Linked DNA regions of Saccharomyces cerevisiae S288C. The protein of the gene in region 2 interacts with the protein of the main gene of each other region in a biochemical or structural test. Each region holds a gene or a part of one and is shown on either strand. Other genes may lie near its edges.

Evidence for each region.
Region 1: the proteins of CHM7 (region 2) and HEH2 form a complex in vitro, tested with the Saccharomyces cerevisiae proteins (one study listed by BioGRID).

Annotation. Positions count from the first base shown.
Region 1 is NC_001136.10:1,379,555-1,383,957, forward strand, and holds HEH2 (Heh2p), read right to left. Parts: upstream 2,493-4,403; coding exon 501-2,492; downstream 1-500. Other genes in the region: E3 ubiquitin-protein ligase TOM1, read left to right, coding at 1-42; palmitoyltransferase PFA5, read right to left, coding at 2,765-3,889; TFIIH/NER complex subunit TFB3, read left to right, coding at 4,257-4,403.
Region 2 is NC_001142.9:344,151-348,398, reverse strand, and holds CHM7 (phosphatidic acid-binding protein CHM7), read right to left. Parts: upstream 2,427-4,248; coding exon 1,074-2,426; downstream 1-1,073. Other genes in the region: UBX6 (Ubx6p), read left to right, coding at 1-952; ATP-dependent RNA helicase MTR4, read right to left, coding at 2,656-4,248.

The DNA.
Region 1 (4,403 bases), on a different chromosome or scaffold from region 2:
TTGGCAATCAATGAAGGGCATGAAGGGTTTGGTCTTGCCTGATCATTTTTCGTGTAAATTTATAGCGCCATGTAACCAAGTATTTTAGAACGTCTTTTATTTAAACCTTTAACCATACAACACTTGCCCAAGGAAGAGGAACAGAAGGATTTTTTAATTTGTAAAAATGCGTTTAATCTTAACGAAACATAATACAGATTTCATGTGCATTTCGCCCTTTTTTTTTATGACAAGCAATATCTTCCAAAGTTTCTCAAAAAGGTATGATGTAAGATACAGTAAATGATATGTAAAAAAAGTACAAACTCCACTTATAAAACCATATTGAAACAGCGAATGGTTATAATATTTTACATAAAGATTAATAGAATACACTTACCTAAGAAAAATATCCGTGAAAACAAATTACAAAATTAAAAGTCACTTATCACATTAGAAACTCAAATACGAAAACAAAACAAAGAAAAGTAACAAAAAGTGGTTTGAAGACGGAAATACGATCATTCTTTCCATTCCCAACATGTCATGATCTCTCCATTTTCTTCAAGAAGATATAATTCTATATTCTCTGATTGCTCTTTCATGATTTTTTCTTTCGTTTGAGCCCATAGATTATTCTGTTCTTTTATATTTGGTATGTCGCTCAATAAAGTAGCTCTTAGTTGAACTGTTGTCAGAAAAGGTTCTTCACCTTTGTTCTTCTTTACATCTTTCAATTTATCAATTGCCTCTTTTACCAATTTCTCAATTATCTGCTCTCCTTGAACGTAATTGTCAAGTGTCGATTGTATTTTTTTGATAAGGAAAAGGACGCCTAGGGTGATAAATAAAGAACCACCATATTTCGTTATATACTCCTGTATATCCCCTTCTAAATGACATTGCAACGTAACCCATTTTTTTGAAGTTGAACGATAAATATAGTTAGTGTTATTAGATTTAGATTTCTCTCTTTTTCCATTAGTTTCAAAATCTAATGGCAGCCAGATAATATCATCTTTTTTCTTTAATATTTCAAGCACATTTTTCCAATGATCATTGAATTCCCTTTGACTTTCCCATGACGGTCTAGAATGAGAGAATATATCATATAATTTGGTTTCCGTTTCACCACTCTCAAAGAGATTCTCTCCTTCACCACATTCATGTTGTGCATTCTTCTTTTTAAGATATTCATTTACTTTCCAAACCAGTTCATCAACCTCCTTTTCTTTACTTTCATCTTTGGCACAATATTTTGGAAAAGGAATAATACCATACGTTTCTAAAATAGAACTTTTAGGCTCATAGCCTGGTTCACACTCAACATTCATAAAAGAAGAACATATTCCATGCTCAGGACATTCGAGACAATTTGGTCGATAAGCTTGCAACACTGAATCTACCCTTTCAGTCTGAGGGAAAGCTGAGATTGCAAGAGATTTCAGGGGCTTTTCATGACCGCAATATCCTACTTGAATTCTCTGTTCTCGATACCAAAGACCAAAAAGAATAGGACATATTATTGAAAGGAAAATAGCACCATTCCATAACCAAATGAAGAGATGTGCAATAAACGGTTTCATAATATCTATCCCTCTTTTAGTTTTGTTGGCAATGAAGTGCCTGGTGCGACCTTTTGGACTTCGTATATTTTTTTTCGACGATAACCTACTAGTATCCTCTTCGTCTTGATTATCAAAAGTTTCTGATATTTTTGTTAGTTCTTCTTTTGCTTCCTTCACCTCAGGTTGGACTTCCAAATTGATATTCTCCATCACCTCACTTTCATTTCTTGTTTCTGCTCCAGTTGAAGGACCAACAGGCTCTTCTGTTTCGATTCTGATAGACGATAAGTCCGTGGATTTTATAGAATGATCATAATTCTCCGTAGCTGCACTAGCTAACTCTTTATTTAGTTGAGCTAAAAATTCGTTTGATACTTTTAAATTCGGCAATTCTGGTTTTGGAAGCTCTTTTACCCTTGGTTTGTCATCCGAAGAATCTTTCTTATGAAGTTCTTCTACAGTTTCCAGTTCAGAAGTTAAATCAGCAGAAGTTGCTTTCCCATCTGACTTAGATTGTGGAGGAGACTCTGGTGGTTTATTGGCCTTACTAGATCTTTTCTTTCTTTTCTTTTTAGGAGACTTCTCTTCCTGTATTTGCATCTTCGCTTCATTATCCGTACTAATTTGTTCCCTTTTCCTCTTGTTAGTTTCAACATTTTCATCTTTGACAGTTTTACTCTCACTAGAACTTGATTCAAGCTTTTTACTCTTTAATGTCTTTTTGCGATCTGCGTTTTTTGCCCCAGACTTCACAACCTTTTGAATGCTAGTTCTAACCTTTGAGGCCTCAGGTGAAGATTGGAGACGTTGCCTCACTTTCTCCTCAAACAATTTCACCAAGACAGGCTTCCTAGCGTTGGCAGGGAACGCAACATCATTTTCTACCAAAACTCTTCTCAATTGGCTGACCTTCAGCGTTTTCGGATCAAGGTTTCTGTGATCCATTGTCGATTAGTGAAGATAGGAAACTTCCTTTTCTACTATTATGTCCGTTAAAGTTCATCCTACCGTTTCTTTGCTGTTAAAATCTCTCTTCTTTTTTATTTTTTTCAAACTTATCTCTTACTATTTATGGAAGGACGATCAAGAAAATGTATATACTATCCCTTCCCCTACGCATACAGAATATATTAAAATGAATAGATAATAGAAACATATACCGATTGTAACATGAGTTTCGTCCCAGAATATAAATTGCTTGAAAAATTTAATACTATTTAGTAAGCAGGATCACTATCGTCACCAGAAGCCCGCAATGTGGCCAGATATTCTCCTCTTGATATCTTGTCCTCAATGGCCTGAATGGTGTAGTCACTAAGAGTTTCTTCATAGGGACCCAATATTTCCACTAGCGTTGTTTTTGAACCGCTTTTGCCATCAGATTTGCATCGAGATGTATAGGGCTTGCCTAAAGGAATTATCCACATAAGTATGTTAGAACCCATAAAGTCTTTTATATTAGCTAAGATTGACTTTTTGTCCCAGAAAGAGTGAAATTCAGATCTATCGAACTCTACCACAAACCTCAACTTGTTTGCTTCCGAGTAATAACAAAATATCTTCCTTGTTCCAAATTTTTTCCTTTTGCTATCTATGATAGCCTCCAAAGACGTCTTGTTTTGACTCATGTAAAAAATACTCGATGCCAACAAACTTGCGGTTAATAACCATCCAAGGATGGCAAACACTAACGTTGAAATTATATTTGCGTTTAAATTGGGGCTATAATTATGATTGTGTTGAGTAATAATTCTTATGTAAACGCAAATAGACACCCACATGATAAGTAAAAGTGTTGAAAAATAAGCAGCAAACTGCACAAAGAGTCTATAATTGTCTCTACCAATAACAGTCCCTATCCACATGCAGTAATGATCAAAGCGAGGAATGCAGTGGCCTAGTTCTGAAGAATGATGCGTTCGTTCCATTTTCAGACTTTGACATTCACTGCACCATATTGGGTATCCGTGAGGATCAGACTGATAACACTTAGGCGGAACCACAGCATCGTATTCCACTGAAGTGTTTTGAGAAGTGTTGCTAGTCTTCTCTTCAGAGGCTATAGGAAGGATCAAAAAAGGTGCTACGTGCGGTTGGGTACCTGGACCGACCAAGATAACTATTTGAAGCCATATGAAAATCACGACTACGTCTAGGAAGCATACCGCACAAATAAGACCAACCGAAACTGATTTCTGACGAAGTCGTTTGTCGACTTGCTCGTAACATAGTTTATGGCAGTAAGCCCACGTACCGTAGCACAGTAAACCGAGCACGATAATCGGTAAGATGAATCTAAACCATGACCTGCGCCTGATTCGAATATTCCATGATAGAGCCATTCATATACAACGGTTTAATTTCTGCCGTGTCGCGATGAAAGGACCTTAGCTAGGTTCTGAAAATATTACAACGGGCAGATATACGCCTAATTAGTTGTTTTGTTTGAGTGCTGTGTTTATGCTACTATTATTTAAAACGTAAATAGTGGAAAAAAAAATCGACTAAATGGTCCAAATCGGGCCGTTCGCTCGTAAATTTGTTCTTAAGCACTAATACTAAAGAGAGTATACAACAGAACAGACGCACAAGACAGCACTCATCATCAGCTAAGAAACTGAACTGCTTGTTAAAATTTGAGTTTGTTTCCTCTTAGGATTTGCAGCATTAGTGGGCCCCCGCACACAAGTAAATATAAGTGAAAGAAAAATGCTTATGGATGAGTATGAGGAAAACAAGGACATGTGTCCGATCTGTAAGACAGATCGATACCTTTCTCCGGATGTGAAATTTTTGGTGAATCCTGAATGCTATCACAGGATCTGTGAGTCGTGTGTTGATCGAATATTTAGTCTC
Region 2 (4,248 bases):
ATCGGCGCCAAGCATTAACATATTACAGAACGGTCTACTCGAATGTTCTATCCAAGGTAATAGCCTTTCTCGTGAGCAGGATCCTTGGGAAACCTTTATCAATGGGTTACAATCAGTCTTTAAGGGTCAAGTAACAAAGAGGAAGTTATTTTCCAAGAGCAATGAAGAATATCAAAGAGTCAAAAGAATGATTCAGAACGACAAGTTGGAGAGGAAGTATGTTTTTCAAAATACTAATGACCCGCAAAGAAAGCCACAGAAGTGGAAGCAGTTGACAGTTACTGATAATGTTAGTTACAAGAGTCAAAAGGGGTTTCTCGCCCAGAACTACTGTACTCTACAATTGAAACTGCCCAATGGTTACACAATCTCTAATACTTTCCCTCCTCAAACAAAATTACACAAAGTAAGGATGTGGTTAGACTATAATTGCTACGATGATGGAACACCTTACCTTTTCCACAGAAATATACCAAGAGTGACTCTTACGCGAAATGACGAACTCAAAAGTTTGCAAGAGTTGGATCTGTTGCCCAGATCGACTCTCATCTTAGAACCGCTGGAAGCCAATAACAAAACATTCGACTACATGGAACAATCTTCTCTTCTACACAAGGTTTACTCAGGTTTGACATCTTTTTGGGCGAAAGAACCGGAAGTAGATGCTTCCTCCTCCCGTCTTGGTTACCAGAGGTTGGGCACAAATGTGTCAAACAGCGCCAACTACTCTTTACAAAAATTATCTAGCTTAGACATGGTGTCGGACGGGGGAGGAGGAGGTGGTGGTGATTCAATGACTCCTTCAGCATATACTACCCCAAGGATGTATCCTTCTAATGGTACTTCTCAATTGCGACAAAACGTGTCTGAACTAAACTTGTCTTCCAATAATTCTGCATCTAATACCAAAGTTCGTACATTAGGTTACTCTAATAATAACGGCAACAATTAAATGTGCTTTTGTTTATTTCCTATTTGGTTATTCACACATATTTTCTTTCTTCCGTCTATTAAAATATTCATATTTATTTTTTATTTATACATATATATTTATTTATTAGTCACTCAGTTCGTCAACGTGGTTGTTCTTCCATCATGATTTTTCTTATCTCATTATCGTGGTTTTCATTATCTTGCACAGGTCCTTCATTTGTATTTATCTTCAGATTATTCAATCTCTTTAATAGATCCTCGCTACTGCTTTCTTTTGGCTCGTGCAAATCCTGGTTCTTATTTTCTTCCTTATTATTATTCTTTTCATCAAGTTCTAATTGTTCTAATTCTCTTTCAATTTCTTCTTCTGCTTCTTCGTCTTGACCTTTATTATAATGAGCTAATAAATCATTGACCTCTTCGGTACGGTCATGACCCTCTTTAATCTCATCTAGTAAGTCTTCTACTTTTTCGGTAGAACCAATATATCCATTAATTGACTTAATTACTTCGTTGGATTCACTTAAAGTTTGAATTAAAACCGCATTAGTAGCACTGGTGTCTATTTGAGTTCTTACTTGAGCGAGGTTATTTTGAAACTTTAGTAACCTAGAAAGATGTTTTTCAGATAGTAATCTCGCCTGTTTATATTCAATCCTTATTCTCTTCGGCAGCTCATTAAACTCTGGTCCTCTCAGTTTAATGTTAGATTCATTAATTTCTTTTCTTAGCCTTGTAATTTGTTTGTTGATGTTTATAATACCCACTTTAACACTAGCAATTCGAAGGTCATTTTCTGTGATGCCTTTGGAGAACCTGCTAGTAATGTCTTCTACTTCAGCGGCAATGACTTTGATAACATTGTCTTTTGAAACTATTATGTGCTTATAATTCTCTATAAAGTGCAGGAACACGTTTTTCGTTTCTTCATCATAGGTTGAAAAGAACGACTGCAAACTTTCTGTGGTCACAAATTCATTCCTTGTGAATACTAAATCTGTAATAGATGAAGCCTCCATAAAAACACTTCTTTTGAGTAATTCATGAAACCTTTGATACTCTTTTTCCAAATTTGCTTTGATAATAAATTTGTCTTCTCTCAAGTAGAAATTTGTTTCATCCTTCCGGCTTTTATACATGTTTGTAGACTCCTTCCAACTTCTAACCCACTTCCAAAATCCTTTTCTACTGTTGTCAGTGTACATTCCACCAAGATTGAATAATTCCATAGGTATCAAATTTCCTTCATTAACAAGAACGTCAATTGCTATATCAATGCTTTTCGGTACGCCATAAACTTCATGAGTTAATTCTTGCAAAGTCCTTGTCCCTATAGTAAATATGATTCTGTTGGAGTTGCTGATGTATTGTTGCAAGAAGAAATCCCTCCATGTACTGATGTTTGCTTCGTACCCATCGGGATTTAAATCTTTCAATGGCCTAAAATCTCTATATAAAGATGGTAGTCTGGATTCTGGTAAATCTACTTTCATTCAGATACAGTGAGATACTATTTGGCTGGCTTTGGTGGTGTTTTGCCAGATATAGTTTAAGAATTTAAAACTCCTCTTATTGTCTCTACTAACGCTGCACTTCATTGAGTTGTATGGGTGTATCAATAGTGTGCTTGCCCAAACAAAAATGTTATTATATAATAAATGTTGATGAAATCTATTTGTTTATTATATATACCAATAAAAATACATAATTGTGTGTGATTAACTATAAATACAAAGAACCAGCAGATACGATATCTCTATGAATTAATTTCAAGACAGCTTCCATCTTCTCCTTAAGTGAAGAGTTACCAATGGTATTGGCGACGTCTACCAGCTCCTTCACCAATTCCTCTAATCTCTTGAACATTCTGATCAACGAACCTTCGTAAACGTCGGTCATTTTACAGATTTGCGTAAAAGTAGCTCCTCTACACCATTCGTAAACAACTTCCATTAGTTCATGTCTGAAGCTTTCAACGTAGTCCTTTTCTACAACTTCAATTTTAGAATCCTTCATTATCTTAGCGATCTTTGCTGCAATTTCTCTCATAGCCTTCAAAGGTTCGGCAAGCTCTGGTTTCAATCTAGGCGCTTCTTTACAGCGTTCTTGGAATGCAAAGCATGATAATAATGCTGCTGCTTGTTCCGGTTTCAACTCATTGAAATTACCATTGAAGATCAATTCTGTTAGTAACAGTTCATCACCACTAGATATTTCACATGCAACTCTACCTTTCAGTTCAATAATGTCATTAGGAGTACAAAATCCTAAACGGCGCAAAACTCTTTTACGGCGACGAAGATCGTCCAGTTGGATTACGGCTTGTGATTCTGAAATTTTGCGTTTCAATTGTTTCATATCTTCATGTAAATCGTGTTTTCTACTATATTTACCATATAGTTCTTCTAGTCTCATGGAATTGGTTAAGGGATTGGAGGATAACTTTGTGTTTAAAACGTCAATCTTCTTCATTAGCTTTAAAAAGTCCTCATCTTCGATCTTCATGTTTTTAACAGGATCCAGCACGGGAATACCATCCGGGAACCTCCGATTAACCTCCCTTAAAGACTTCCCAACAGTTTCTTTTTGACCGCTGGCTCTAATATCTTTGGGCATATATAGTCTCAAATTACCAATCGACTTGATTGAATCCAAAGTTATGGGAATAACAGCACATATGCTTTTTTCACCTTCTTCCGCTGGGCGAATCCCTTCTGGTAAGGTAGGGTTGAAAGGTTTCAACAAGTTGACTGGAGAGTCTATATACATGGTATTGACGACCACATTGACAATATAGGATTCATGGTCTGTATAGACAGCACTTGGGTTGCGTTTGTTAATTCTTTTAGCAAAATCGACAACAGCACCCCAGCCATAGTTATCCTTACCATTGACAGAGATTTCAACTAATCTGCCTGGTTGTAGGAAACTTAAGGCGTTTGCCGGATGGGTGACAACTTGACGAACATCTTCACGGTAACCTTTGATAGCCTGCTCAATCTCATGGTATTCTTTAACATTTTCTTCATCTTCGACTTCGATGCCATCAAAGTCTTTTTTCAGTTCAGCAAGTTTCTTTTCCATAACTGGTACTGAAATAACGTTTTGAAATTGGAAGAAAGAATGCTCCAACATAAACTCCGGAGAGATACCTTCAACTCTCATTAAGTTCAAAATCATATTATATCCTAAGTGAAAAGCCGAGTCTAGCCTATCTGCTTGGCCCTTAACCATTCCTTTAGCAACTTGAGGTTCCATTTTTTCATCAATCATCATAATAACAATACCACGATCATCTAAACCACGACGACCTGC